Linked DNA regions of Diceros bicornis minor. The protein of the gene in region 4 interacts with the protein of the main gene of each other region in a pairwise test. Links are inferred from orthologs where the notes say so. Each region holds a gene or a part of one and is shown on either strand. Other genes may lie near its edges.

Region 1 (7,579 bases), on a different chromosome or scaffold from region 4:
GAGAAACACATTCATAACCTGCTGGGTTTAGTCCTGGAGTCCTTAAGGACTGTTAAAAATATTGCATCGTTATTCTGCGCAATATCACTCCTCCTTGCAAAGAACTTTTTTAACCCGGTGCTTTGAAGGCAAAGAGGATCTAAAAGTCCTAAGTCAGATTCTAGCCGAAAGAAAAAACCGTGGAGAAGGGTTTGAAGAGCGTAGTAAAAACACCAGGCTCAACTTGAATCGGAGTTGGAAATGAGAGCTGTAACAAAGTGCATGCTGGCTGGGAATTCGATTACCAGATAAAAAGAAAAAGCAAAGAAAACGAGCCACCTCTGATCGGAAGCAAAGCCCCTTTGCACGCAGTGACAGTCCTTGAGCTCTCCCCAAACCCGCTCACACGCTCTCGGCAAACTGTTTTCCCCCCAGAAAACACGAATCCAATACCTTTTCGGACAATCCCATCACATCCTAAGGATCACCGTGGATTTCCAGAACATTTTTGCATATCCCACCAAGTTTTCCTACAACCATGAAGAGCCTTCGGAGCTAACGCAGGCGCCAAAAGCAAGCCCCGGCCATGGAAGGGTACGAATAAATATCTGTCCCTACTTTCAAGGAGAAGCCGGATTCCTAAAGAGCCGGGGGGAAGCGGGCCGGGGCAGCCGAGCCGCGCCGCCACATCGCGCGCTCCGACGGTGGCGCTGCGCCCTCTGCAAGCCGAGCGGGGAGCGGCGGGGAATAAATAGTGGCGGAGAGGAAGGAAAAGGAAAAAGTTATGAATGAAAACAAGTTCTCTCTCGCGCGCGCGGGCGGGCGGGCGGAGGGAGGAGGCTGAGGTTACCATGACCTCAGGGGGGCGGACTTCCCCCGTTAAAGCGGCAGTGCCCTCGCCCCTCGCCGGGCCACCGCTCTCGCAACGAGGAGAGCGCTGCAGCGGCGGGGGCGCGGACTCATTCTGTGCAGGGGCTTCCAGCAAATGCCGGGGCTGCGCCCCTGCACACACGCGCGCACACACATGCACACACGGCCCTCCCCGGTCCCCCGTCCGCAGGAGACTCCTCCACTGAAAGCTCGCCTTTGGCACGAGCCGAGAAGCTCCCGGGGCCCTCCGGGGAACACCCGAAACCTCCTTGAGTCTACCTTTCGCGTGGAGGGTCCCCCGGGAGGACAAGCGCGCCAGGAACTGGGGACCCTGCGTCGCCGTCCTCCGCGGTGGCGGCAGGTCCCCTCCCCGCTAAACCAGCCGGAGCGCCCCGGGCCGAGGGGGTCGCCCCTCCCCTTCCCGCGCCGCCCCCCGCGCCCGCACCTGCCGCGCCGAGCAGCCCCGCCCGCGTCCCCCCCCCCCCCCGCGGGCCCAGGCGGCCCCGCCACTCACCTAGGCCGAAGCGGGGGCGCGGAGCCGAGCCGTGCAACCCGGCCGAGGTCCCGGTGCGGGCGGCGGCGTGCAGGCGCCGCATCAACCGCGGCGGGGAGGACGAGGAGGCATGGCCCGAGCTGCGGCGAGTCGGCCCGCGGCCTCCCCAGCGCCGGCAGGAGCGCTCGGCACGGCCCCCTTCCGGCGGCGGCGGACAGCTCTCCCAGACGCGGGGCGGCCGGCGCACACCGCTCACGGCTCAGGAAGCTCCAGCGCCCGGCCTTCCTCCCGCAGCCCCCTGCCCAGAGCCAGCAGCAGAATCCCCCGCGGGCGGGCTCTCCGAGTCGCTCGGGACAGCGGCGAGAAGAGTGCGTGCCGGGCCGCCGACGGGCGCGCGGTGCTCGGACGAGAGGGCTTCCCGGGCTCAGCTCGCTCCTCGCGGGGAAGGACGGAGGGCGGCCTCCGGAGGAGGGAAAGTCCACGGCGCGGACGCTCGAGACTCGCGGCGCCCGGGACGGGGCTCGAACCGGCGTCCGCGGACCGGGGGCACACGCCTGCGAGGCCGCGGCCGCCGCTCTCCGGGGGTCGGGGGGTGGGAGTTTTTTACCCGCTCTTTTAGGGGTGGTGGTGAAAGGAGCGAGGTTTAGGGGTGCTTCTCAGAGGAAGAGGCGGGGCGTCGTGGCTGGGCCCCCGCGCAGGTCGAGGCACGCTGGCGATCCCGCACGCTGCGCCAGTTGGGGCACGGCGTCCCCGGGAACTCAGGTCTTGGCGGTCAGCCTCTCCCGGGCAGCGCGCGCTCCCAGTCCTCCGACCCTCCGGGTCCACGGCGGAAATGCCTGCTGCAGAGGAGCAGAGACAAAAACACGTTAATTTCCCTTTCTTTCCAGGCACTTGGACACGTCGCGCGCTCGGTCGCCCGGGCGGAGAGTGGAGCGGGGCGGGCCACTCGCCAGCTCGCCCGCTGCCCGCAGCCATGTGCTGGCTGTTGCTGCTGCCCGTGATTGACAGGCCGGCGCACAGTCGGCGTGTCAGCAGCGAACCAAAGTAACATGCAGTCTTGCACGTTTTTGCCGAAGTGCTTTTGCCCCTTGGAATGCCTAGGAGTTCAAACAACGTTCAAGCAGCGCCTCTGCACATTGGAAATCAATACACAGAGACGGGAAATTCAGGTTTTAAACAATTGCTTCGCTCGGGATTCGGTCGCCAACAATGCCTAAACAAACATGCATTTGGTCCACCCACCGAGCCCCTCTTCGGCATAAACCACCCTGTTTTTCACACATCCGACTGTTTCAGATTTTAAACTTGTTACTGTTCGGAAAAGTAAAAAAAAAAAAAATTGAAAGGGACCTGCTTTTTCTTTTAGCGGTAGCATTTACTTTTAAAAGCAGTCGTTTTAGCAGTGGGAATGCTACTGGTAATTTGAAATGCAACCAGTAATCTTAGATCTAAAGCGAGTTCAAAGAAATGTTCGGTTCCGTGCAACATTTCTCACCTAATCTTTCCTGAAATGTCTATGGAAGGAAAGGAAGGAAACGGTTCTTACCTAACGCAAAGATTGGAAATTGCTTTTCAGGCACATTTACAGCGACTGTAGCTGTTCCTTATCCAAGGCAGGGAGCTCTGTCTGCTGCTATCACTCTGCAAACCACTGCGTGCCTTACAGAGCGATCCCACTCCAGCGCCGCAGAATTTCAGCTCCTAGCCTCCACCTCCACCTCCGCTCGGAGACACGCCTCCAGTGATATCATGTGTCAATCACACGGGCTGCCTGAAAACCTGGAACAGGATTTCCCCAACAGTCGTTTCCTCTTTCGTTTATGTGTACCAACTGGGAAATGTTGCCCTGTATGGTCGTTGTAATAAACATCCTCTAAAAATTTGAGATTGCTCTGAAAATCCTGCAAATGTAGTTTGTCTTAAAAGAATACCTTTAAATTTAGTTATCAATCTCAGTAAAAGGATTGGTGGTCTCGGCCCTTAAAGTTGAATTAGAAAATAATTTTAAAGAATAAAAGAAGATTTTAAAAACTGGTATGCCAAGCTATCACTTATGATCAGCTGGAGAGAAAATGTATAATGATATTAAAAAGACGATGATGGAACATTACAGTTCCTACGTAAAGCAAATTCAGAATATGCGAAATCTCGAAGTTCAAAAGGTGGCACCCCTTACTGCAAATGTCCTGTTACATCATGTCATAAAGGTGAAATTTCCTGCTGTAGATTTTTAAATAATTGCTCTCTCGGTTTGTGATATAATCCCCCAAAATCAATAAAATGAAAAAAAATCCTAAATTCCTCCAATTTTGTAATATGTTTGTATAATTTTGCAAAAAATAAAAAAAAATTATTTTTTAAAATCATCTAAAAGGCAATTAATTAAAATAGAAATAACTTGCCAAGAAGTTTTAATTCTTAATCATATATAATGTCGCTGAAAAAGACGAGCATTTTAATCAGTAGGAATCTTGCTTTTTGTGTCCTTACAAACTATGGGATTTTAGACGTTTATTATCAAAATCATGTACTTCATGCTGCAATGAGGAAAATTTTATGTGAAATTTAAGGTTCTAGAGAGACTTTTGAAAGATACCTAAAACCCCAAAACATACAATAAATGGGAAGGAAATATTTTTTCCAGGTACTACATAGCAGAAGTATCTTACAGTCTTTGGCAAAGTAAAGCAAACAAAACAAAACTCCAGAATCTAAATCTTACATAAATTTGAGTATGGAAATTTTCAGTTCAAAGTAATTTTTTTAATCTCCTTCTACAACTGCAAGTGATTCTGTTGAATTTTTTTTTTCTATACTAGACTTTCAAATGTTTGAGTACTTTAAAAATTTAGAGTTGTATTTGGAATTAGCTCTGAAGAACCTAGGGCATTGTTACGACCATCAACAACGAAAAGAAAGCATCAATAGAAAATAACAGAACAAGAAATGAAGACATAAGCTACATATCACTCTTAATATTATAAATTGTATTAAAACAGGCTGTTTAAAACCATAAACTCAACTTTATTGTATATATTTTCTATTTTTTTCATCTATCTCATATTTTGGGATGTAATGAACCTTAACCAATGATGGATAGGTTTTTTGACCATTATTAATGGATTTGGAATAGTCAAATCAGAAATAGAAGATCATATCGGAGTCACTTAACTGGTTCTTCAAAATTGTCTTCTCAGCTATCACCACAATTTTGGGATGAGAGGTCACTTCACCAATGTGATAAAACCAGGAGAGGGAGCACTGAACATTCCACTTCCATAAATCTTACAAAAATTTATTTGAAAGATTTCTATTACAAATAAACTTCAAACTATTTCAACCACAGATATATTAAGTTATAATTTGCATGAGATTAAGTATTTTTAAATTACAACAATAAATAAAATCCATGAAATTTTATCTATAACACCATCATCATGGGTCATGTTCTATTTAGAAATCAAATATTATGCTGCACAAAGCTGACCAATGACCCTTTACATCATTTAGCACTGAAATATATCAATGTGGTTTGCTCTAAATGTTGCATTACAAATAAGTATGAGTATAGCCTTGCCACCCTGGATCTAGAAGAGATTTAAAACCTGCTTCTCCATTTGATTGCCTGCAACTGTAAGACTTTGTAGAAATTCTAGATTTTTAGCTTAAAATAGAGATTGTTCTTTACTTAGTAAGTTTAATTACAGTGTACCTTGGCTAGAAATAGATAGTTGGAGTATAAAATTTTCCTGAAAAGGAAAAACAATGTAAATATCCATGGGAAAATCTTACAATAATTTTCAGTTTACTATATTAAGATATGTCTAAAAGAATATAGTGGAATGGAAAGTGAGCCCTGACTAGTTCTTCATTTTCATGTGAAAACAAGATGAGCCATCTCTTCTGCTGATTTGATTTTTGAAAAAAGGATAAAGTAAAATGAAAGAAAACAGTCTGGTAATTCCTCACAACTGCTAAGGATTGTTTTTAAAAAGTGTAATACTGAGAGGCTTAACTTAGTCATTTATCTACTTTATTTGCCAAAATAGGAGAACCATAATGTGTTCCAAGCTCTTGAAAAATAATCTTATTAATTCTCCCAATGCTTCTGTGAAGTCATGATAATAACTATAATCTTTTATCTTGTTGAGAAACAAACAAAATAATCACAGAAGTTGGTGAGTTAGCCGATAAGAATCTAATAAATCAATGAAGAACCAGGAATGGATGCTCAGTCTCTACTTTCCTTCTAGGGCAATAGTCACTATATTACTATACTTCCCAAGAAAAGCTGGCAAGGATAGGCCATTTTATTTTCAGTTTCCTTTTGTAAACAATGTTTGTAGTTGACAGAAATAGACCAACCTATTCTGTAAATTTTCCATAAACAGTCTCTTCATTTTCATAAGCGTAATTCTCATCCTTCTGCCCTATTTGAAATACTAATGTTCTGTATTGATTTCAAATTGTGGAAGTGGGCAAATCAAACAATATATTGAGTAAACTACACTAAATGATTTGTAGTTTCTGTCAGCTCTATAATTCCACAACTAACCATTTGTGTACTTTGTCACAAGTGATTCTGTTTTTCTACAAGTTGTAAGGAAAGAAAGAAATGCACATGGAAGGGCTCTGAATTGGTGCCCTTCATTCCTTAAGTGTCATATTCCTTTACAGAGAATCAAAGTGGCAAGTTCAGACAAACTGCATCACTACTGTATATCAAAGACTGGACTAATGAAACCCACATGGTAAAGTCGTATAAGGAGACATCTTTCACCTAGTGCAAAACAGGCTTCATTTCTTGTCTAGCCAATTGAAGAATAAATCCTATCTTCTTTCCTCTTCCATAATATTAAACGTTTCCTTTAGAGACTTGACTTGTTCTTCATTTTCGCAAGAAAACAAGATTAGCCATCTCTTCTGCTGATGTGATTTCTGAAACAAGGCATGGAATGGCCCTTATAATGATCACCTGGTATCATCTTTGATTCTGGCCAGCAAGTTATTAATCTCTCATTTCCTTAACTATCTATTGCTATCTTCATCTTCAGAGACAAGCACTAAAAACCTAGGTTAATTTAAACCTCTAAGTGCCCCCAAAGATAAAACAGTTAGAAAACACAATCATGTTTTCGTTAAAACAAAAACAATTTAAAACCTCTCCTGGGTCTTGCCCACTTTGATCTTTATTTCCGACTGAAATAACCTATTCCAAAGGCTATAGTTTATCCTTTAGCTGGGAAAATAAAAGAATATTTATTTGATGAAATGGCTGTAGGCACGCCTTCTTTAAGAATGCCTAATATTGAAAAAAGAAAACACAAAAACTTACAAGAGATTTTTTATAAAAAGAATTTATATTGAGAGTCTTCTTTGATTTGCAATTCTCTTGGAGCATTTTAAATAATTCCACTTATAAAAACATTTCACGTGGTCTGTAATATTGATAGGACACATATATTGAAAATATGAGTTTTGACTACATCATTTTTCTATATCATGGTCCATAACTTTAGCTAATATACCATATTCGTCCATAATCTCCCCATGTCCAATATTACAAGCATGAAAATGGCATGGTATTGAGAAAAGAGTACCTGACGTAGGGTCAGATGATATGAAACTCAAGTCTTGGCTTTGCTACTTTCTTGCTTGGTGACCCTCACTTAATTTTTCTTAGCTTGCTTTCTCATCAAAAACCTGAAGTTAATAACAATACTTCGCCTTCCCAAGTTATAGTGCTACTGTGGACTGAATATATATATGCAGTACTTGGTAAGCTTTAAAGCTCTGTATATATAAGTTATCATTGCCTCAAACACACTGTATGATGAGGAAATAGCTCAGGTTCCCTCTTTCTAGGAGCTTCATCCCCAAATAATGAATTTATTTGTCTTGTAATTGTTTCAAGTTAATTCAGTTTTACTTTTGTTTTTCTAAGGCTGAACTCTTAGGTTTAAATAATTGTATTGCTGTGTGTGTACGTGTGTTTTAAGTGGGATTTTGGAGCAGCTATCTGCTAATAATTTCAGATTAAGGAATTTAATGAGCCTGATCACCTTAACATTTATCTGGAATTTTTATTCATTTACATTTTACTTCCCGTTAAGATAAAGGTCATTGCAAATATTAAAAATCCCTTCTATAAAATTTGTAAACTCTTTGTGATCGTTAAGAGTAAGTAAAGCAAATACATGTTTTAAAAAAGTAATTAATATCTAAAAAGTTGAAAAT
Region 2 (7,314 bases), on a different chromosome or scaffold from region 4:
GAAGCCGTCCAAGTCCGTGTCGCGGCCGCACAGGAGACCGTTGCCCGCCCAGCCGACGGCACACTGCGGGTGAAGGAGTGAGTGGGCGCCCCGGAGTGGCTGCCCCCCGCGCCCTCAATCCTCGCCCCTCCTGGCCCGCGCGCACTCACCACGCACGATCGCGAGCCATCGCGCTCCAGGACGCAGTCGGCCTTCTCGTGGCATGGGCTAGGCGTGCCGTCGGGGCAGAAGCGCTGTGCGCGCGGACGGCAGCCCGACGCCTGGTCGCCTACGAAGCCGGGCTGGCACGGGCCGCACTGGAAGGAACCCTGCGCCCGAGTCTCAGTCAGCCCGGGCCGCCTGCCACTTCGCACCGCACCCCGCCCCCGTCGCTCGATCCTTCCCCTCTCCTCCTGGGCCTTACCGGGGTGTTGATGCACACGGAGTTGGGAACGCAGTTATGCTGCCCAGTCTCACACTCGTTAATGTCCGTGCAAACCTGGGTGGGAGGGAGCGCAGAGGTAACCGCCCCCACGCAGACACCCCCGAACCTCCCACGAGGCTCACATTTCCTCTGCATCCTACTTTTCCCTTCCATCCTGCCCCCAACCCTGACGCGGACCCTTCCTCTCTCCATCCGCCAGACCTTGGTCCCCACCCCCTCGCGCTGGAGCAAGGCGGGGAAAAGGCTTCGAGGCTAGAGAACGCGTTACTCAACAAAGTGCGCCCCCCATCTCCTCCTAGCGCCTCCCTCCCACGGCCCTCACCTGCTTGTTGGCCTTCGCGAAGGCCATCCCCACGCCCTCGTGGGTGGGGCCGCTGTACCCGGGAGGGCAAGCCTCGCAGCGGAAACCGGGGCTAGTGTTGATGCAGCGGACGCGGGGAAAGCACGGGTTGGCGTTGCACTGGGGGAGGAAGGGCCACGGGGTGTCAAGGGCGCGGAGCTGGGCCCCCCGAGAGCAGCGCCTCAGGGTTTCTTGGGCTTGGACTTAGAAGGCTCCACGGTCATCAGCCAGCACTTGGAGGGGGGTGCCATGTAGGGCGGAGGCCATCGTCCCACGAGTCAGATGCGACTTTGCCTTGATGGGGGCAGGGGCGCGACCAAGCTGGGAGAGGGGCGTGTCTGGAGGGGGCTGTTCTTGCGACCCCGTGGGTTGGGTACTCATGGGTAGGGGAAGGAATTGTGAGGGCGGGCGTCCCCAGCAGAAGGGGGAAGTGGTCGTCGGGGCGTGCGTGCCCGGCGGTGGGGGGGTCGCCGAGGCAGGCGCCCCGAGGTGGTGGAAGGGTTATTCGAGCTAGCGAGCCCTGGAGGCACCAGGTCAGGTGAGGGGGGTCGTTGAGGCGGACCACTCTCGGCGGTAGGAGAGTCGTCGGGGCGGCCGTCACTGGCGATGGAGGGGGTCGGTGGGACGCGCGTCCCTGGTGGTGAGGGAGGTGGTTGGGGTGGGTGCCCCCCGACGGTGGAGAGATTGTCTGGACGTGCACTCCCGGCGGTGAGGGGGTCCTCCGGGCGAGTACCCCCAGCAAAGGAGGTTGTTGGGGCGGTGGGGAGTTGTGGGGGCAGGCGTTGGGGGATCGTCGGGGCAGTAGGGGGCGGGCGCACCTCGTTGACGTCGGCGCAGTATGAGCCGTTGCCTGTGAAGCCCGCGGGGCAGGGTCCGCAGCGCGCGCCGCTCGCGGTCTGGGTGCAAGCCACACCGGGGAAGCAGGAGCCCGGCGCGCACTGGGATACGGGCCGCACGCTCAGGCTGGGGGTGCGCGCGGGCTGCATCCCTGCGAGGGGCGGGGCGGGACTGGTCACGGCCACGCCCCGGGGCGGAGCTAGCAGGACCACGCCCCGCCCCCCCGCCCCGCACTGCGCGTTCCGCTGGCCAGGTCTCTCCAGTTACTGCGGTCTTTGCCTCTCCGCGTCCGTCCGCTTTCTGCTTCTCCCTCCGCGTCTCTCCACCTCCCTGCATCTCTCCCACGACCTCTGGCTCTTTTTGTGTCTCCCCCTCCCATAGTCTCTGTCTCCCCTCCCTGTTCGCCTCTCTCCGTCCCTCATCCAATCTCCATCTGGGTCGGCCTCCTTCTCTTCCTCCGTCTCTTTTCCTCCCGGTCTTCCCTTCGCTGTTCGTCTCTGTCTGTCTCCCCGTCTCTTCTCGCTCTCCTGCCCGCCCTGTCTCTGCTACCCCAGCTGCGCTCACCGCACGCGTCACACTCCATCACCGTGTTTTTCAGGAACGTGATCTCCTTGACCTGCAGTGCAGGGAGTACGGGGCGTGCTCAGCGGTCCTCACCCCTCTCCTCCCTCGGGTGTCCCCTCTCCTTCCCCCAGACTCCCTTCCCACAGACCCACCCACTCCACTCGCACTCCCTACCCCCAGACTCCCTACCCCGCCAGCCCCTCTTCTCCTTCCCTGGGACTTTCTACCCCCTCAAGCACTCCTACCCTCTCCGCGGAACCTTCTATTCCTGCCCCCGCTTTCCCTCTTCCTTTTCCACAACCCCTTCCCAGGTCCTGGTAAGGGGGTCTTACCCACCTCCACCGGGACCCCCTTCTCCCCGACGCTCCTCTACTTCCGAGGCCCCTTCCCTCTCTCCCAGGCCTCTCTCCCCTCTCCCGCACTCCCTGTCCCCCACCCCGGCCCCCACCTGCTGCCGCAGCAGCTCCCGCACGTCCTGCAGCGCCGCGTTGGTCTCTTGCAGTTCGCGCAGCATCTGCGGGCCCAGGTCTGTACCTGCGCCGACAGGGGGCGCTGGTGGGGCGTCTGGGCTCGAGGACCCCCACCACCACTCACTCCGCCGCCGGCGCAGGGACCCCGGACGCCCACCTCCTTCCTGAGCCTCCGCCCTGCACGCCCCCGCGAACAGCCCCGGAGCCCCAAGGAGCCGAGACCCCAGGCCTCCCGCGGGTCCTCCTGTCCGTTTGGGGGTCCGGCACACACCGCGGGGGAGGGCGCAGCTTACCCAGCGGGATCTGGCCCTGGCCGGATGCGCCGAGGGCGGCCAGGGTGAGGAGGAGAACGCAGGCGGCGGCGAGAACCATGACGGCGACGGGGAGCTGGACGGAGGCTCTCTCTCTGCCGCCCACGAGGCCTGCGGGGCCTATTTATCCCGGCAGCGCGGCCGGCCCCAGGGACGGCCCACCACGGCCCTGCCCAGCGTCCATCCGCAAGGTAAACAGATGGCACTGGCCTCTGCATTCAAGGCCCCGCCCGACGCGGCTGAACCCGGACCCGGCGGGGAAACTGAGTCACGGGGAGCCTGTGCAGGGGTCGGTGGGGCGGTGAGTCAGGTGGGACCACCCTTCATCCCTCTCATTCACTTATTTATTGAGTGCCTGATGTATGCCAGGACTGGGGCATAGCGGGGAAGGAGAGGATCCCCATGGCGGCTCCCCTCAGCTCACACTTGGGGAAACTGAGTTAACAGCTGCTAAAGATCAGGACCCACCTCCACTGGCCACCCTGCTTTAGGTCAGGCTGGCTGGCCCTTCCCTCCCTCCTCACTTGCTTCAGAATGGGGCAAATGATGTCTTTCTGTGCCTCAGTTTCCTCCCCTGCACAATGGAGGTATAAGTATCATTGTTGACGGTGGTGATTGTTATTACAGGAAAAGGAAGGATCAAGCGAGAGCAGGGACCCTCTGTCTTCCTGCCCAGGTGCACGGGGGCTTTCTCCTGGCCCCCCTCCCCAGAGAGTTGCCAGTGACTGTAGGCACCCCTTTCTGGTCTTGTGTCTCTGTGATTCTCTGGATGGGGTGGGGGCAGCCTGGTCTCCCAGGGGCCGGGAGCCCACTCAGCTTCCCAGTCTGTGCGATGGGCTGTGCGTGAATCCACCTCCGGGGGCGGGGGCGGAGAGCAAATCAACAGGCTCTGCTGGCGGAGGTCTGGGGGGGCCTGGGGGTTCTGTTTGTAGAGCCTTTGCCATACCTTCCAAGCTCCGCTCCAGCTGCTGTGGGAACAGCCTGTAATAAAAATAAAAATTACTGCTAATCAGGAAAATCGTCCCTCCCAGCCCAGCCGCACTTGAGCTACAAGACACCTTGGCTTTCTGGAGTTAACCCTCTCCACCTCCACCCTCCAGTGCTTGCAGCCTCTATTCTATAGACGGGGAAACTGAGGCTCAGAGAGGGAATGTGACTAGCCTAAGGCCACTGCAGGGGGCAGGGGTGAAGCCAGGGTAGGGTCATAGTCAGATCTGTTCTCCTGGGAGGCTGCAGAGAAGTCATGGAGGGCTTCCTGGAGGAGGTGGCAAGGAAACCTAAAGGAAAGAGAGGACTCAAATCAGCAGAGGGAAAAGGAGAGGACAGTTCTGACAGGGAAGCGTTTGGAGCTTGGACGTGGGGAAATTTCAGGCACATTCATTTATTCCGCAAATGTGCGTTGAGTACCTACTGTGTGTTGTGTCCTGTGCTGGGCACAGGGACACAGGGTGAACAAGCCAGGCTGGGCCCTTCCCTCATGGGAAACCCAGGTCACTGGGGAGGCAGCTATATAATCACCAAAAGGGGCCAGGGCTGTGATGGGGGACGCACAGGCAGTGGTGGGAGCTCCAAGGACCAGGAAGATGAGGAGGACACGGCCAGCAAAGAAATGGTGGAAAGGCCTTCTGGGTAGAGGAACAGTATACACAAGACCCTGAGGCAGACATGAGACTGGTCTGCTAGATGGACTGATCTCAGGGTAGAGATTTCTTGGGGCTCAGGAGAAGCAGTGCTCGTGGTGTGGGGCTTGGGCTGTCTTCTGAGGGCAATGGGGAGCCACAGAGGGTGAGTGAGGAGGGGTGGGCCTGGAGGTGAGGCTGGGTGGGAACAGCTAGCCCCAGCCCAATGTCTCCAGTGAAGCCCGTGCCCTGACAGTGCCCGCCTTGCCTGCTGCCTGCCACCGGGCCATGAGCTCACCTCCTGTTTTCCTTGGCGTCCAGCACACCTGGGGGCCGTTCCTGGCTGGCGCTGGAATTCTTGGGAAAACCACGACTCCGGCAGGGCCTGTGGGCTTGTGTGTGCCTCATGCAGCTGAGACAAGGGCACATGGAAGCCAGGCCTCTGCCACAGGCTGGGCACGGGGCTGAAGCTTGCACACACGTGGCCTTGTTCATGGCCATGGGGAGACTTGGGGAAAGGCGTTCCAGGCAGAGGGAATGGCAAAGGCAGAGGCCCTAAGGAAGTCCCAGCTTGCAGATCAGACACAGAGGCCCTGAGACAGTCTAGTTTCATGCTCCCGGCTCCTCGATCCACCAGCCCTGAAATCCCCCTTCCAAGCAGCCGCTCCCTCCTCCCATGCACACCACACCAGCCTTACGTTACAGAATAACTCACTTTAGGTGTCCTTCCCGGCCGTTGTACCTGCTGTTCCCCACCACCCCAAATATCTTCCTCCATCCTTCAAGTCTCAGCTCTGACGCCCCCTCCTCCAGGAGGCCCTCCTTGCTCTTGCTGGGCAGGGCTCAGGGGCTGGTGCCTGTATGACAGTCGCCTGGGACCCCTGGCAAAGTATTCTTGGCAGAGAAGGTTGGGATGGCCTGACCCCAGGGACTAGGAGTGCTCTGTCCCTCCCAGCCTGGGGCCCCTCGGGGGCCTGTGCTGGTGCAGAGGGGGAAGGCTGGAGGGTTTGGTGAGCCATGACAGCGCCTGCTAGGATTAGTGTGACATTATTATTCCTTAGAATTAATGTAGCATCATTCCTACCAATAATAGTAACCCCTGCCACCACTGGACCTTAGGACAGACTCAGGGGCCACATGGCCAGGCACAGCCTTGCTGTGTGACCTAGGGCAAGTCGCTTGACCTCTCTGTGCCTCAGTTTCCTCACCTGTAAAATGGAGGTGATAGTTGTGAGAGGATAGTTATTGAGAGGATTGAATGAGCTAACCTGTGCCCACTGTCTGGCTGCAGTGTTAGCCTCATTATACGACGTGGAACTTAGACGCTGTGCCTCAGATCATTCTTATTCACATTTTCCTCAGAGAGGAGACGAGACAGCTCAAGGTCACACAGCTGGGGTTAGAACTGGGGAAGGTGGGACCCCTAAGGCCTTCACACCCCCTCCCTGCCCTTGGCCACAGAATCCAGACTAGAAATGCTGGCCCGGGCACCTCATTAGCTGTGCAGACTCTGTTGCCTGGGACCTCCTGGCCTGAGCCTTTGGCCAGCGCCCCAGCCAGCCCCCCTTCCCACCATGCCAGACCCAGCGGTTCCAGGAGCCCGGCCAGGCAGGGGTAGAGGGGCCGGGGCCTGCGTGATGGGGGCCCCAGGCCCTTCCTGGCAGAGCCCTGCTGGGCCAGGAGACATGTGGGCGCCCTCAGCTCGCCCAGCCGCCTCCCCTTGTGAATTCAGGGGGAAAGTATGTCGGGACGGCAGCCGCCCTGCCCTGGGCGGGCTGGGCTGCAGGCCCAGGGTCTGGGGAATTCATCAGGGCAGTGAGGGAGGCCACTTGGCCACTGCTTCATCCATAGCTGAGGAGCCTGACCCAGTCTGCCTTGGACGGCCCCACTGGACCCGTCTCTCCACAAGGACCAAGTAGCCAGGGGGTGTGGGGGGGCAGGGTGCCAGCAGGCACTGGAGTCTGACAGGCCCACTTGCTCTGTGACCTTCAACAAGCCCTGCCTCCTCTCCACCCTTCATTTGCCCCAACCCTGTCCCCATTCCATCCTAGGCTCCCCAAAAGGTGATGACAAACAAAGAAGATAACAATAAATATAGTGGCTACAATTTTATGGAGCAAGTGCCAAATGCTCGAAAGCTTGCCATGCCACTTTTGTGAGTTTTCCTTTTCTGTACGCCGCCACCCTCCGCAGCCCCAGGAGGCAGGACCTCATTAATCATGGGAGGCAGCAGGCACAGCGAGGAAGGTCTTGGTCTCTGGCACTGGGGCCCTGAGTTTCACATCCCAGCTCTGCTGTGGGACCTGAGGCAAGCTGCTTAACTTCTCTGTGCCTCAGTTTCTTCCTTTTTTCTTTTCTTTTTTTGGGGGGGAGCGAGGGGCCACCTTCAAAAGTTTATTATAGTGTAAATTTTTGCTTCTCAAGGTTAGCCAGCCTACTGAAGAGTTGCTTCAGGAGAGAAGGAACTTCGCTGGGAACTGACTGGAATTTAATGATGTGGCATCCAATGGATGCTGGTGTCTAAGAATGATTTTACACAGCCGCTGCCTTCTTAATTTTCCAGGGATGACTGCGGCAGGACAAATGACCACCTTGGTGTTCTCTCCTTTCCTCTCACACTTAATGACAATTTTGTAGGTAAGAGTAAAACAAATCTGTATTGTTTTACAGATGTATTAGAGAGAGACTGCCTGCCGGGCTAACTACAGAAATATTGTTCTCTCCCTCAGTCTCTCTCTCTCCGTCTAAG
Region 3 (7,690 bases), on a different chromosome or scaffold from region 4:
ACTACTGTGAAATCAAACCACTGCCTCTCTCTACCCTTCCTTCCTTCAGACCCTGGAGGTAGGTCTGACAAAGCAGAAGCCTATTCTACAATCCAGCTACTATCATCTAGAAACCTTCAAAAATCTCAAGATAATATAATATGGACCATTAAGTTCTGGAATTTTTTCTCCATCCACAAAGAATCTGACTGTAATAACTGAATGTCATCATGTTCTCCAGGTGAGATGAACATTTTGCTATTTTTCCATATTTGCTATCATATAATGTTGTCCAACATTATACGGTAGATCTGTTAAACCAAAAAGAATGTGAATATCCAGGATTCATCTAATGAGTACTTTTATAAAGTATTTAGGGTGACTCAAAACCAACTCTATCTTGTTAAGCCATTGTGGGAACTTAGTTATACAAAATTGGGCATAAATGATAAAAATCATACAAAGGTATTTATTTCTACTTCCATGGAATCATCCAATTACATTGAGATATAAATGCACTAATGCTATTCTGAAAGAATAATATTGTGTCTTTTGAGTTCAAGGCTGATAAGTTAAATATTAAGGAAACATTAATAACTAATAATTTATAAAAACTAAAGTGCATATAAAATGTAAAACTCTAATTATACCTCATTTTATATATTTGGGAGAAAGACTATCTTGTGTTTTCTTTTTCTCATCTCCTTCAAATATTGATGAAGAAACACAAGTATTTTCTATCTAAATAAGTTCCCTGAGAAGAGCATGTCTCTAAGGCTTGATTAAAACCAGTTCAAGAAACAGGATAAGCCCGTTTACTAAAAGTAAAGAAAAAGTGATTTTAAGCAGTCATATTCTAACTATCTTTCCGTGCTCCACTCTGGAGAAGTATGCCTGGATGGAGCAGTCAGGGTTTTTTAGATTCAAGCAAATTTCTTCCTTTTCTCTCTGCTTTTCGAAGGTAAAACAGTTGCTTTTAAATAAATGAGCATGTGGGAAAAGAGAATGAAATGTAAAGATGCTACATAATTTCTTCCTGAAAAAACCTTCCAAGGGTATCAAACTCACTGAGGTAGAATCCAGGTCTCCTAACGATGACAAATACCCCTAATTATGAGTAAATGTACTGTAAATATTTTTATGCTCTGTCCTTTTCCAATACCTTCTGTCTGCAAATATCTTGCCTGCAAATCTCCTGTCTGCCTTACTATGAAGTCATTATGCCAAAAATCCTGCTGCTGTATCCAGATTCTCTGCACTTGAAAAACACATCCATAACAGTATGGAAATGATCAGGATCAAATGCTGCTTTCTGTAGTTACCACACAGCTGTTTAATGATGATAAGCTCAATGAGCTCCAAAATTCTGTGTAAAGAGAAGACATTCCCATGGCTGAAATGAACTGAAATCCATTTCTGAGTCATATATAATAATTTTATATAACATTTACAATTTTTGCAAAAAAACTTGAAGACATAATTCCCCGCATATAGTAGACATCAATAAATTTTATTGATCAATAAAGTTTATTGAATTGAATTATTGACCTAGTCATCATCTGATGTCACTGGTGTTGCAGATATTTCCTAAGACCCAGATATACACACAGATTGCAAGTGACCAAACTCTATGAGGTGAAGGTCATTAATGCCATTTGTTCAACATTAAGATCATAGGCGACACGTCCAGTTCCTAGAACACTATCACTGAAGATTCTGGCTAACACATAAAGGATTACACAACAAACCATAGGCATGAAAGAAAGTCACCAAGAGGTTACATTTGACTTTAGCAAGTAAATTATTGGCAGAATAGCCAAGTTGTCCTAGGTGCAAAAAATTGCCCAAGTAGCCATTATTACAATTTAGGGAAGCTCATGGAAGTAAGGATCATTTTTTTATTGAGTATGCTTGTTTTCAAGTTGGTTCTAGGAACACGACTCTGGCGTCTAGTTTAAATGTGTGCCATTACATGGAGCCATCTCTGACAGGGTGGACAGAGGAAACAATGTTGTCTCTCTGTGTACTGCTGGGAAACAAACAAATTGTGACAGGCAGCAATGAGGATCCAAGAAGAAGAAGCATCAGAAAAAATAATAAAATACTTTTTTTAAGTGTGTTATTTATTCATTCAATCATGCATTCATTCACTAAATACTTAGTGAGTAAACAATACGTGCCAAATCTTGTTCTGGGCACCAGAGATAAAAGTGCAGGCAAAGCTCTTGAGATCCTTTATTCTAGAGGAGGATGAGGAGATAATAAACAAGTAAACAAATGCAAGCTGATTCAGATAGTGAAAAGTATCTGGAAGAAATCAAAGCAAGGAGATCTAACAGAGAAGAACCCTGGGGCCAATTAGATCAGGTGGTTAGATAAAGCCTGAGGAGGTGATACTTGAGCAGAGACCTGTAGGATATGAAGGAGCCTACTATGTAAAGATCTAGGAGCAGAGGATTCCAAACAGAAAGAACAGCAAGTACTGTAAGCTAGACTTACTCAAGAGAGTAACAGAAATAGGCCGATGTGGCTATAGCACACATAGGTATGGTCTATGGGAACATGGCGTAAGAGAACTGGGCTGGGACAAGATTATACAGAACCTTCTAGGCTGTGGTAAGGATCAGGGGTTGTATTTAAAGTGCAATGAAAACTCACTGGAAAGTTTTAAGCGGAAGCATGACATGATCTGGTTACGTTTTTAAAAGATCACTCAGCTGTTGTTTGGAGAATGTGTTGTTTGGGGTTGTGGAGGAGACCCCACTGGCGGCTTTTGTAGTAGCTCAGGTGAGAGACGATAGAGGTTTGAACCATCGTTATAGCAATGGAGAGGGAGAGAAGTGGAGGAATTGGGGCTATATTTTGGAGGTGGAGACAACATGGCTAGCTAATTAATTGGATGCTGGCGTGAAAGGAAGAGACAAAACAAGGATGACTTCTAAATTTTTGACGTGAGTAACCGGGTGGAACAGTCTAAAGAGGAACAGGTTTGGAGGGGGCGGGTATCTGGAGTTCTGCTCCTGAGTTGTCAGTTAAACATAATAATAGTATCTACCTTGTAGAGAAAATAAGAAACATATGCAAAACATGTAGATCAGTACCCAGCACACCGTAATTGCTCCATAAATATTAACTATTATAATCATTCTTCAAATGGAGTTGTAAAGGTAGTTGAGGGCATAAAAGAGCTCTGTGAGAGGTGAGGACTGAAGATATAAATCTGGGAGTTACATAGAATTCAGTGCCCCTCAAATCATTTTTGGTGAAGGACTTCTATTTTTTATTTTCAACGCGTCGTGGACCAATACTTTTGTAAAATCCAACAAAAATGAATTACTTTACAAATCAAAAAACAGAAAGTACAGCTGATGAATGTGCTTGGATGTCAAGGCAATGTCAAAGTGCTATAAAAGTTTCTACATCTTACTTTCAATTTCTGTACTTCTCTCTCCTTACAGACCGATAAGGAACAATTTGCAGACCAACACCAGTCCAGGCAATACATTTGGAAGAGCACTAGTCTTCAAAGCCATGATGTAGCGAGAAGGAGGCCCTGGAGCAAACTCTGAGACACACTTAACTCAAGTAGAGGTGGAGAGGTGGGAGGCCAGAGCACGTTCCATAAAGGAGACTGAAATAACAGCACTGTTTGAATACATGAGCACACAAACAATGGGAAATCATATATACTTACAAGTAATTAGTTTGCAATAGGTATAAGAAAAAAGCCTAATCATTCCTGCCAGGAACTCACTCCTCTTCCCACAGATGTCACATCTGAAGAGAAAGACACCCGCTTCCCTAATTCACCCTCACAAACACTTCAATCTAATCATCGGAGATGCAATCTAGCGCTCAGGCTGCATTAAGTAGCCAAAGCTCCTTCACTACCAAGCGGGGCTCCGCTTGTGACTAGAACAATTATCAGACCTGATAGCTACTGAGCTGTCCCTGAAGGATGCTCCAGGCCCCAAGCATCAACACCTCTGTTAATAATTCACGACTCCTGCCTTGTCATCGGCTTCTCTCAATCAAAACTCTGGTTCTAGTGGTCCAGACTCCTGAGACAGAACATATGCCCCAGACCAGAGAGCATCTGAAATAATTCTTAGGGCAAAGGGTCAGATTCCCGGGTGAGGACGTCAATAAACTAAAGAACTCTTCCCAAAGTCGAGTCCTTGGGTAAGCAAAACTTGCTTAACTTCACACTTTCTTGAACCCCCACACAGGGACTGCTTCCACTGGGACCCCGCTGCTGCGGCGCTGTTTTGTTCCTTAAAGACATGCTTCTGGTGTCAAGCAACTCTCCTCAAGCACAGGATGAAACAGACGAGGGCTGCGGGTGAACGTGAAGTTGGAGCCTGGGCGCGAGAGCCTCTCTAATCAAGGAAGGCTCCCAGGTCTCCAAGGCTCCCGCGAAGCCCTGCACCCGCGCCGGGAGCTCCGGCCGAGACCCTCCGCACCGCGGGCGCCGAGCCGCGGGCAGCGCGCGGGGGCCGGGCGGGGCGGTGACTCACGCGGCCGCGCGCCCGGGGAAGAAGCGGCACCTCCGGCCGCGCCGGGCGAGGGGCTGCGCCCGCCCGCGGGGCGCATGCGCGCTGCCGAGCGGCTCCAGCTCCCTCCCCGCCCACCCCTCCCTCCGCCCCCTCTCCCCTCCCCTCCATCCTCGCCTCTCTCCCTCTCTCCTCGCCCGCTGGGTGCTGAAGTTGGGCGGATGGCAGCAAACCGGCTCCGCTAGAGGACCGAGCAGCCCAGCCTCGCGCCCCCGGACCCATCGGTGCGCTGCCCACACCTCCAGGCGGCTGGGTAAGATGCTGGCTCCGAACCCGAGCGGGGCTAAGTAAATGACATCAAAATGTCTGCTTTGCACCGAGGGATGAATTTTTTAAAGGTGGTGGTTGGGGGGGGGGGGAAGTGAAGGAAAGAGGGGGCGGAGAGTGCAACTGCCAGCGCCCTGGCGGGGGAGGCTGCGGGCGCGGGGGGCTCGGCGCTGCTGCCGCGCCGCGGGTGCGAGCGGGGGCCGCGCCGCGGGTTTGGGAAGTTGCGTCCGGCGTTGCTGCCTCGGCGCGGTCCGCTCGCCGCCCTCCAGCTGCGGCGGACGGGCTGGGCGAGTGTCCTGCCCGCCCGGGGAGCCCTCGGTCGGGTCCCCCGCGGAGAGCTGGGCGCCTTCGGGGAACCGGCAGAGGGCCCAGGGCGGCGGAGACCCCGCGGGGGCGCGAGGTCCTGCGGGATTTTTGTGGGGGTTTGTTGGAAAACCGAATGTGAATTGACAGTGTCCAGTCGACCGATCACCTTGGCATGGTATTTTTTCTTTCTTTACCTTTGGGAAAACGCACTATTCAGGTGGGGAAGGTGTAAGCCAAAGGGATTGCAGAAATGCATACCTTGAGCATCGGTGAAATGTCTGAGGTGTGTGTGTGTGTGTAGGGGGTGGGGGTCTCTTTTGTTCTTTGCCCTCTCCTTAGTCGAAGGAAAGGGAGTTCTTGTGTGCTTGGCTTGGGGTAGATTTCACAGCCACCGAGGGGGCGAGGAGGAGGAACGCCCACCAATTCCCTAGCCGCTGCCCAGGTGGGTGTATCCGAGACTCCCCTGCTGTGGGTGATGATTCTTTTTATTATCGATAGAATCACAGTTTAATAGCCTCCCTCCTCCTCTCCTCCTCATGTGCTGCGGCAGAGGCTGGGTGCAGACGCTCGGCCGTTTCCTCTTCTCCCTACCTTCCTGTCTCGGTGAAAAATGTCGGAGGACTTCAGGATGGCGGAGGGACAGAGCTGGCCTCGGAAGCCGCGGATGGGGAGATGCTCCTCGCGAGCTGGAGGCTGCTGGCAGTGCGTCCCGGGCAGCCCGCGCCAGCCTCGGGAATCGCCGGGCTCCCGGGGACAGAGCAGGGGTCTCCTGGCCAAAAGGATGCGCGCCGTGCGGGACCCGCCCTGCGCCCTCCGCCTCCATCCAGAGCCCAGGACACCGGCTCACCTGGGACAATCTCAGTCGCTCTGGCAAGACTGACCCTGGCTCCTGGCATAGTTTTCCTAACCTCTCTGACCCTTTGATAAATGCTTCCTTCTTTAAGCGAGTCACTGGAAGGTTTGTCTAGAGAACTTTGCAATCTTCCCATAGTTTCTTTTTCTTTTTTCAGTTGTTTTACAGCGAGATTACTTCCATCATGGGATGGCTATCACAAGTAATAGAGAGAAATCTTAGAGTTTGGTTCCCGTTTATAATAAGCATTTATAAGACTGGATATCTATCATCTGCATTTCCGGATTTCATACATACTGTTTTTCCGGGTGATGAACCCTTCTGAAAATCATTTAATTGGAGAAAGGAGAAACAGTTTTTACCCTTGTAATGGAAAATAATGTTTTTCTCCTGGTTTCATAGCTGCTAGACACTATGTGTATTAAATAATTTTGAAAACTGTGACACTTTAAGTCAATTGTATTTGTTTCTAAAGTCTTTTGTAGTAATAGCAGGTATCAGTGAAATATACATTATAGCACTAATATCTAATGAAAAGGTGATTCGGACTCATTAATTCAAATGAATGAGCATTTTGATCACCTCCAGTTAAGTCACTATTATTAAGCTGCTTCTTCTGTTAGCATGAACTAAAACAGTAATTAACACACTCATGGAAGAGTAGATTTATTCACTATTTTAAAAATCTTAAAAACTATATTTAGAGAAACCATGAGAAAGTAGTTTATTAACAGTTTTTGGAGATGAGAAAACAAGTGTTTATTATTACAAAAGGATTGGATGGTATCACATTAAATAAGATGAATCTCCATGACAGTGACATCTGATCTCAGAGCCCTGGGCACTCATCCTTTGTCCTGAATTTATAGTCTGAGAGGTTAAGAAAACCACCTAATTTACAGAGCAAATAACATAAGGTGTCTGTGCCGATTTCTACCCTTTTTTCTCTGGTTCCTCAATTACTCCTTGGTGTTTAATTCCCATAGAAGGGAATTAACAAGGAGTTACTTTGCTGTCCAATTCTAAGGAATCCAGCTTTTCCTTCTCAAATAGCTATCTCTTTGCTTTTAGGGATCTTCCTACAGGGTCCTAATTTATTTGAACTCATCATGTTGAAAGTCTAAGTCATTATCATTCCTATGGACTTCTTACACTTTTGCATAATAATAATAATAATAATAATAATAAAACATTTCTTAATATTTCCTACTATGAGGGCCAGGGGCTTTGTAGAAAAGGAGAAATATACACATTCTTACCCATTTGACCTTATTATAACAGCCAAATCTAAATCTAAATTGATAAAAATTCTGGTTGACTCATAGACTAAAAAGTAAGAAAGCGTTTACCTGTGTTCTAGAGATAATGGCCTTCATATTAAAAGTCCATTTGCTGAAAGACATGGGCTTTTCTGAAAAATGAAAGACGGGCATGAACGATGAGATGTGGAACCAAGAGGGATAGGAATCCATCCAGTTGCATTTCTGCTGAGATTCTTTTTTCTGAATATCCAGCTCTGCTTACTTAACAATGAAGATACAGCACTGCATAGAAGGGCAAATGCAAGGACCACTGTACACTCAGTGGATGACAGTAACGCTGTGTGATGTTAAAAAGCATTTTATTTCATCTGATTACTACAGTTAGCGTATAAGCATAAATGCATTGTAGAGGCTTAAAATTGCATGACATTTCCAGGAAGGTGTTCTGGATCCTCAAAAATATTGTAAGT
Region 4 (7,051 bases):
CCTTCCCTGCCGCTTAGAGGTTAAGGAAGGAAGAGAGGTTATACAATCTCCCTTCCTTCACCACCACTCCCACATACTCCCTGGCTGAAGGATGGGGAAGGGATACGCAGAAACACGACCTGGAAAACACTTGCCAAGGGAATAAATGCGGTTGCAGGAATGGGAACCAGAAAAGAAAGCCAGGATTCGACCCAAGCCGTCCACATCAGCAGCGCAGAAGTTGGTACAGGCGACAGGTCTAAAGGACAATTTAACTAAGGAAGGAGAATTCCCCTTCCTCGGCTTAGCCAGTGGCTTCCCATATGGGAAGCTCGTTTCCTCCTGTCAGGGCCTAGTGAGTGTCCAGATTCCGCATTCCATATTGGGGGGAAAGGAACAGATTCACATACATACATACACACACACACACACACACACACACACCAAAAAAGCCACCCATGGGAAACGAATCCGTGGGTAAATGTGCCCCGTGCTGGCAGTGGGACCACAACAGGATACAGGTTGCTGGTGTGGCCGGCCGAGAGAGCGCACGTTGAACGTTTTCGCCGCCCTGGCCCATCTCACCGACCCGCGACTCGGCCCTGTGAGCCTGCAGCCTGCCCTGAATTTTAAGCAGACTAGGCAACCGGTTCCCTGGGCCTGCTGGGCAACAAAGCGTGTGCTCAAACCCGAGACCGAGGGTCCCCAAAGTAGCAGGGGCTGGGGTGGGGGCTGGTGCTCACCCGGATAGCCCACGGAGGGATGCAGGAGGTCCATGGCGGGCCCGGCCAGGCCCAGCCCGTTCATGCCGTATGGGGGTTGTTTGAGGTAAGACATCATGCTAACAGCCGGGTGGAGGCGCCCCGACGGATCCAGGGGGGCCAGGGGCCGGGCGCAGTGCGGGTCTCCCACCGCGCAGTCCTTTCAAGCTCTGCTGCGTCTGGGGGCCCGGCCTATGGAGACACGATACAAACCGTCATTCGGAGCCATGTCAGCTTCCTGGTCTTCTCTGAGGCAAGGAGCCACCGGATGGGGAGGGGACCCAGGCTACGGAACTGCGCTGGGCAGTCGACTCAGCTCTACAAAGCCTTAGCCCAAAGACCACAGCTTCTTTGAAAAGTAAACTTTTCTGGATCGTCATCGCCTCTTTCCGGGCTTGGAAAGGGCCAAAGACACTCGCAGGGCGTCGCTAGGAGTGAGGAGAGGTTAAAAGCAGGGCCAAGCTGGGGAGGTCTGAGCCTGAACCGCAGAGTGTGCAAGGTCCCAAGTCTAGGCAAAATTCTGAGTCCGGTGGGAGCCGGCCTCATACTGCACAAGCAAACGTTCACACGGCACCCGGGCGGGCTGCCCAGAGCACAAGGGGTTGTTTCGTTTTGTTTCAACTGTTTTTGAAAGCGGGACAAAAGACACCAGAAAACCAAGGTGCTAGCAGCACCTGGGCCTCTCCGGGAGGCACTGCCCACTTAGGAGAGTACATTCCTTCAAAGGTCTCCGTGGCTGAGTCCCGGCCCCAGGGCCCGCAGCCACCCCTCCAGCTGACCTCTCTATGCCCAGCCGTTGAAAGATTGCTCACCCGCAATCCCACCACGTCTCAACCGCAGGTCCGGCAGAGGCGGCCAGAAGGGGCCACTGTAGAGGTGGCGGTTCTATCAAGCGGCCCGAGGTCAGCCACGGCCACAGGCCCTTCTTTGCCAACACAAGCCGGTAGCCTTCTTTCTGCCCGGTCCTAGTTGCGGACAACCGGGTCCCGGCGGGGGCTGAAAGGTGACCCGCCCAGCGCCCAAAAATGTCTCGCGGATTTGGGAGGCCTAAGTGCAGCAGGTCCCGCGCGCTCGCTATCCTACCCGCTGAACCCGCGGCCCCGGGACCCGATTGAGACTGGAGAACTAGGCCTCGGCGGCGTAGCTCGCGCTGACCGGGGCTGGAAGGTCGAAGCCTCGCTTCCCGAGTTGCCCCGCACCTAAGGCGCTACTCTCAAGGGTCAGAAAGTGGCGCTGCGGGAGTGGGACTGGGGCCCAGATGACCTGTCGCTTCACCCCGCTTCGTGGGAAGTCACAGCAGGCCTGGCACCAGGGCCAGGGATTTCAGGGAGAGGAGTTAGAGCTAAAGACGCTCCCCTCTCCTATCCTCCGGGACCCTCAACCTGGGCTGGGAGAACCCAGTTTTCAGGGAAGGGGACGAAAGGGAAACAGCCGGGGCTCTCGGGCCGAAGGAGAATGGGACTCAAGCTGCGGCGACTCTGCTAGGCTGCAGCTTGAGTTTTCAAAGATTTTCTTCAAACTTAGCACTTCAGCTCGGTTACTTCGGAGCAGGCGGGGGAGGAGGCCCGGGGCCGCAGCAGAGCTCTTGGGTCCTCCGCGCCTCAAAAGGGGTGCCAGGCCGCTCCCCAACCCTGCCCACCTGCCGGGGATCTGCGAAGCTGGGACCCGTTTGAGGAGGAGGAGAAAGCAAGAGCAACCGACGCGTTCCTAGAGTCCCGGGCGGCCCCGCGGCTTTCTCCTTACCTGCCCTCAGCTGCCGGGGCCGCTCACCATCTACCTCGCGCCCTCACACAGACCCGCCGGGCAGCCAACCTGCAAAACAGAGCTGCACAGGAATTACCCGCCAGGCTGGGCGGTTGGTCGAGGACACCCGGATTTCTTTCTTTCCCCAACTTCCCTCCTTTCTCTTTCTTTTCAGTGGCTTTGTGCATGTCCCTCCAGGTTTCACTTTTTTGCACAGACACTTTGTTTGCAAAGCCCTACACACTACCCAAGACACTACCTTGCCAGGACCGCGCCGAGGGGCCGCAAGGGGGAGGGTGGGGGGCGAGAGGGGCAGAGTTGGGAGGTGGCTCGCGGTTGCCGTTGCACTCCCGGTACGACGTGGAGGCGGTGGGGGCTGGGGAGGTCCTGCAGAAGCACTTTGCAAACTAAATAAATCAAGCGATTTACCTTGTCGGAGTGGCTTGTCTCGCCCGGTTGTTTAGGTGATTGGAAACGTAGCCTGATGAAGATTGATCACCTTTCTACTGCCCTCCCCGGGTATGTGAACGCGAGGTGAGTGCGTAACCGGGCTAGGCTGCCAATCCCGGGGCCCGCGCGGGCTGAGTGACAGGGAGCCGGGCAATGGCAGCACGAGCCGGGGGTTACCTCCGCGCGCCCCCGCCCTCCTCCGCCCCCTGCACCCCGCCCTCGCCGCCCGCCCGCCCCGCCCCGGTCGCGCGCTAACTCCGGGGTTTGGCTGGCAAACGCCTCGCAGAGCGAGGCGAGGCAGGCGAGCGCAGCGCCCGAGCCTCGGCCGCGGAGGGGGACGCCGGTCCCGAGGCCGTCCCGGGGCCCCCGCCCTTCTCTCGCCCTTTCGGCGCCCGGGAGGGAGTGGCAGACAGGAGGCGCGGTGCCGGAGAACCGGTTCCCTCGCTCTCTCGAGCGCCACTCGGCTCGGCGGCCCGGTTGTGGACGCGAGGACTCCGCAGCCGCGGCTGCAGGAGAGGGGGCCCCGGCCCCTCTCGCGGCGCCGCGGGCCCCAGCGTCTTCCTCCACCGCGCCACCACCTGCAGACGGACGCCGCGGGCGGCTCGTGCTGGCACAGGCTACTGTGCCGAGCGCGGGAGCGGCTCCGGGTGCGCAGATCCCGCCTTGGCGCCTCTGGACTCCCGCGTCCGGGAACAGCACCCGCAGGAGAGGCACCACCCCTTACCTGCTCCTCGGCGTCTCTTGGGGTTCCCAGCCCCTACGAAGGGTGCTTGCAAATTGTAAACGCTTCTTCTGAAACGTTGGAGCCCGGCGTCCCCTCCCCCTTACACACACACACTCTACTTCTGAATCGAAAGATTTTGATAGGAAACTTTCTCTTTCACACTGTCTCTCTGTCTCCTTCCCGGTCTCCTCCTACCAGGACAGTCTGCTGGAAAACGTGGCCACAGACCGCTACCCTCAATTTCTTTTCCACATGCCGCAGGAGCCTCCTTGAGGCGCTTTCCCCGGATTGTTCGTACTGGCAAAGCCCATTTTCCAACAGAACAACTTCTCCAACACGTCTACCTGGGTAGACTTTTCAAAGCGCAAAAAAGTTTTTCGCCCCAACACTGAGCAACGCAATTCTTTTAAATGGCACCTCCTCCTGAATATTAGGCACGACTTCATTCCCTTTCGAGGAATTCCTACCCCTTCTTCCTAATCCCCCCTCCCCTCCACCCCAACAGGCGGAGTGAAAACTTTGAACAGGAGTAAGTGTGAGGGCGAGTCAAGGAGCCGCCAGGCGCATCGCGGTGGGGAGCGCCGGCGCTGCCGGGGCCGTGGGGTCGGGACCGAGAGCGGACCGGGCGCTGGGCGAGGCGGAGGAGGAGAAGGCAGGAGAGCCCGCTGAGTGAAAAGGGGCCGCGGCCGCCGCTCATCAAAGTGCTTCCCCCTCCCCCAAGCGACACTTTCCTTTGGAGTCCGAATAAAATACGGTAACAGAATATGATGGAGGGCACACTGTTTCCTTAACTGCTTCTCAAAGGACTCGGGAGATCTTCTTAGGACCTTTAATAAGGCTTTGGTCGGTTCTTTTGTTGATCTCTCAAAATCAACTCCTTCTAATTGAAGTTGGGAGCTGAAAGCGAGCTAATGTTCAAAGAAAGTGGCCGCCAGACCAACGAAATTACATTTTTTTTTTTTTGGACGATGAGGGAACATCTAATCAAAGGGGCAAAGAAGGAGGGGTGGGAGTGGAGGAGTATGAAGGAGAAAAGGAGGTTTTACAAGACCCTTCTCTGGTTCACAAAAGTCAGCGACACGGGTGCTTCTCTCGAGAACAAAGACACCGCGGCCCAGTCACAAAAGGGAATGAAAGAGAGAGAGAAAAAACAATAAAAAAACGAGAGAAAAGGAAAAACATGAGAAAGAAAAAGCTTTAACAGGAAAAGAAACTGCGCAGAGCGCAGCGCTGACCCGGACGGGAACGCTCGTTAGGCTCGCGCAGGCCCCCGTGGGGAATGGCCGGCGCGGCCCGCGGCTCGGAGCCCCCGGGACGGTGCAGAGGTTTAAAGAAAGAAACGAAATACACCCCCGCCTTCAGCTGCGGGGAAAGGCGCGGGCTGGAGCTCACTAGTTTAGAGGGGACCAGGGTGTGGGCGTCCCGGGGGGCGCTTCCGCAGCGTCTGCGTCCCCAGCTCCGCGCTGCCCCTGCCTGGGCCTGCGCTCTGTGTGCCTGGGTTCTTAGCCCTCCGTTGCCGGGGTGCGCGCCCTTGTCCCAGTCCCGCAATCTCTTGCGCTCCTGCTTCCTCCGGGCCGTTTCGCCTGCAGCGCAGCGCCGGGTCGAGGTCCGGCGCGGCGAGGTGGGGCGGGTGTGCGCGCTGGAATGTGCCCAGGAGGTCCCCAGGGCCCGCCGCGCGGGAGTCCGGCGCTCTCGGTTCCAGATGCTGCCACGGTCTCGGGGAAGTTGGGAGGTATCAAGCAGCACGATTTTTCCCCCCTAATGAGAGTATTTATCTAATCCCAAATTGCAGGCGAATTTTCTTAATGCTCAACCCATAAAACCCCGGGATTAAGAGAAGAAAGAGAGAGAGGAGAGGGGAGAGGGGGGAGAGTAGAGAGGGAGAGACACTGAGATGAAAGTTTCTTGTACACAGCGTAGAGGACTGAGGCGGCCGTCGCTAGGCAAATGTCCAGGTGGGAGACTCTGGGCTAGAAGCCGCGACCGTTCCAGCAATGGCCGCAGCGCCGGGAGGGGAAGAGGGGCATCGCGAAAGGGCATGTCGACCCAGCTCGAGGTCTCGGGGCCGGGGAGGGGGCGTGGGAGCTGGGCCCCAAGACCCGGATCCAGCATCCAGGTGACCTCGAGGCCGGGCCAGACTCTGGAGAACACTTGGGACAAGGGGAGGGGTTTGGCTCTGGGGCCGTGGGATCCTGGCCAGGGGCGGAGGTTCTGCACCAGCCCGCGGGCTATGCCCAAGCCAGCCCGATGCCAATGCTCCTCCTCCTCGGCGGCCCCTGGCCCCCAGCTTCTATTCCCGCAGCGCGGGCTTTCGGGTTCCCGGCCTCTACGCAGGCTGAGCTCGCGCCTGCGCTCCGGAGGCAGCCTCTGGGCACCACGCGACGAAATCGGGACGCCGCGGGCCTGACTCCGCTAGTCCCGGGGGTCCGCGCTCTGCCGCCGCTGCGGGGCGTGCGGGCGCCACAGAGCAGCTCACATGGAAACCCCGCGAGGCTCAGGCCTGGGGCAGTAAGAGCAGGAGAGGGGCAGCAAATCTGTGCCTAGGGAAGGTTTGTCACTTGGCAGGTCGGGAGAGGTTTAGGGGAGCCGCCTCTCTGCGAGGCTCCTCGGGACGGAAGGTTCCCCGAATCCAGCGTAAATGGGGTGGATGACGCTGGCCGCCCAAGCCCCAAGCTGCTTCGGGCTGGCGATTTCCGTCTGCTGGCTTCCCTCGGGGTGGAGCGGGGTTCTCAGAGCTTCCCCTAGAGAGCAAATACCCCATTTCATTTCGTTCTGATAACTTTTCAATAACTTCTTAAAATCCTTGTCATGAAGAAATTCTGCCGTAGCAAGTTTTTATCATTTTGAAATACTGGCAGTTGAAGGCGGCTGCAGACTTTTCGAACGGAATTTATGTTTGTATATATCTGCATAAATGTATGTGTGTGTATATATGTATGTGTGATCTAGGCTAAAGTATAAATGCTGGTGGACTGTCTTCTCTGTCTCCAGACTTGTTGAACGAGCTCTCTTTGTTTCGGACACCTCTGCAGAGGAGTGATGGAAACTACCATAAAATCGCCAGTTTTTTCTGTAGCCTAGAACTTCTTGTTAAAAGTTCCCTTTCCCTCATCTCATACACATGTATCTGCACACACAAAAACCCCTCCCCCCGACAATAACCCTCTTTCTTTCACTTCAGCACCTACAGTTATCAGAAGTCACAGTTCTTTCTCATATGAGTGCAAAATTATAACAACTGAAAACAACAACGTGGAAAATTCATCAAGATACTAACACTTTTACAGTGCTGTGGAATCACAAATTTCCTCAAATCTTGAACAACAGAGATGACCCTTTACCAAAGATGATAGTTTACAATGCTTAAGAAAATATGACTAATTGTTTTTCAATT

What was found.
Region 1: the proteins of OTX1 (region 4) and SPRY1 interact in binary tests that used the Homo sapiens proteins (3 or more experiments, as listed by UniProt). The two-hybrid records come from large-scale screens. The link is inferred for Diceros bicornis minor from reciprocal best matches to the Homo sapiens genes OTX1 and SPRY1.
Region 2: the proteins of OTX1 (region 4) and COMP interact in binary tests that used the Homo sapiens proteins (3 or more experiments, as listed by UniProt). The two-hybrid records come from large-scale screens. The link is inferred for Diceros bicornis minor from reciprocal best matches to the Homo sapiens genes OTX1 and COMP.
Region 3: the proteins of OTX1 (region 4) and RGS17 interact in binary tests that used the Homo sapiens proteins (3 or more experiments, as listed by UniProt). The two-hybrid records come from large-scale screens. The link is inferred for Diceros bicornis minor from reciprocal best matches to the Homo sapiens genes OTX1 and RGS17.

The regions. Positions count from the first base shown.
Region 1 is NC_080750.1:16,482,976-16,490,554, reverse strand, and holds the start of SPRY1 (protein sprouty homolog 1), read right to left. Parts: upstream 3,011-7,579; 5' UTR 2,889-3,010; intron 2,182-2,888; 5' UTR 1,446-2,181; coding exon 1,364-1,445; intron 1,208-1,363; exon of another isoform or gene 1,129-1,207; intron 592-1,128; exon of another isoform or gene 433-591; intron 1-432. UniProt on the Homo sapiens protein: Inhibits fibroblast growth factor (FGF)-induced retinal lens fiber differentiation, probably by inhibiting FGF-mediated phosphorylation of ERK1/2. Inhibits TGFB-induced epithelial-to-mesenchymal transition in lens epithelial cells.
Region 2 is NC_080759.1:6,347,712-6,355,025, forward strand, and holds the start of COMP (cartilage oligomeric matrix protein), read right to left. Parts: upstream 3,008-7,314; coding exon 2,929-3,007; intron 2,700-2,928; coding exon 2,614-2,699; intron 2,218-2,613; coding exon 2,166-2,217; intron 1,753-2,165; coding exon 1,583-1,752; intron 885-1,582; coding exon 747-884; intron 479-746; coding exon 404-478; intron 309-403; coding exon 150-308; intron 64-149; coding exon 1-63. UniProt on the Homo sapiens protein: Plays a role in the structural integrity of cartilage via its interaction with other extracellular matrix proteins such as the collagens and fibronectin.
Region 3 is NC_080778.1:15,790,778-15,798,467, forward strand, and holds the start of RGS17 (regulator of G-protein signaling 17), read left to right. Parts: upstream 1-4,684; 5' UTR 4,685-4,785; intron 4,786-7,690. UniProt on the Homo sapiens protein: Regulates G protein-coupled receptor signaling cascades, including signaling via muscarinic acetylcholine receptor CHRM2 and dopamine receptor DRD2.
Region 4 is NC_080751.1:24,466,458-24,473,508, forward strand, and holds the start of OTX1 (homeobox protein OTX1), read right to left. Parts: upstream 3,015-7,051; 5' UTR 2,913-3,014; intron 2,579-2,912; exon of another isoform or gene 2,566-2,578; 5' UTR 2,484-2,565; intron 2,240-2,483; exon of another isoform or gene 1,553-2,239; intron 933-1,552; 5' UTR 820-932; coding exon 723-819; intron 1-722. UniProt on the Homo sapiens protein: Probably plays a role in the development of the brain and the sense organs. Can bind to the BCD target sequence (BTS): 5'-TCTAATCCC-3'.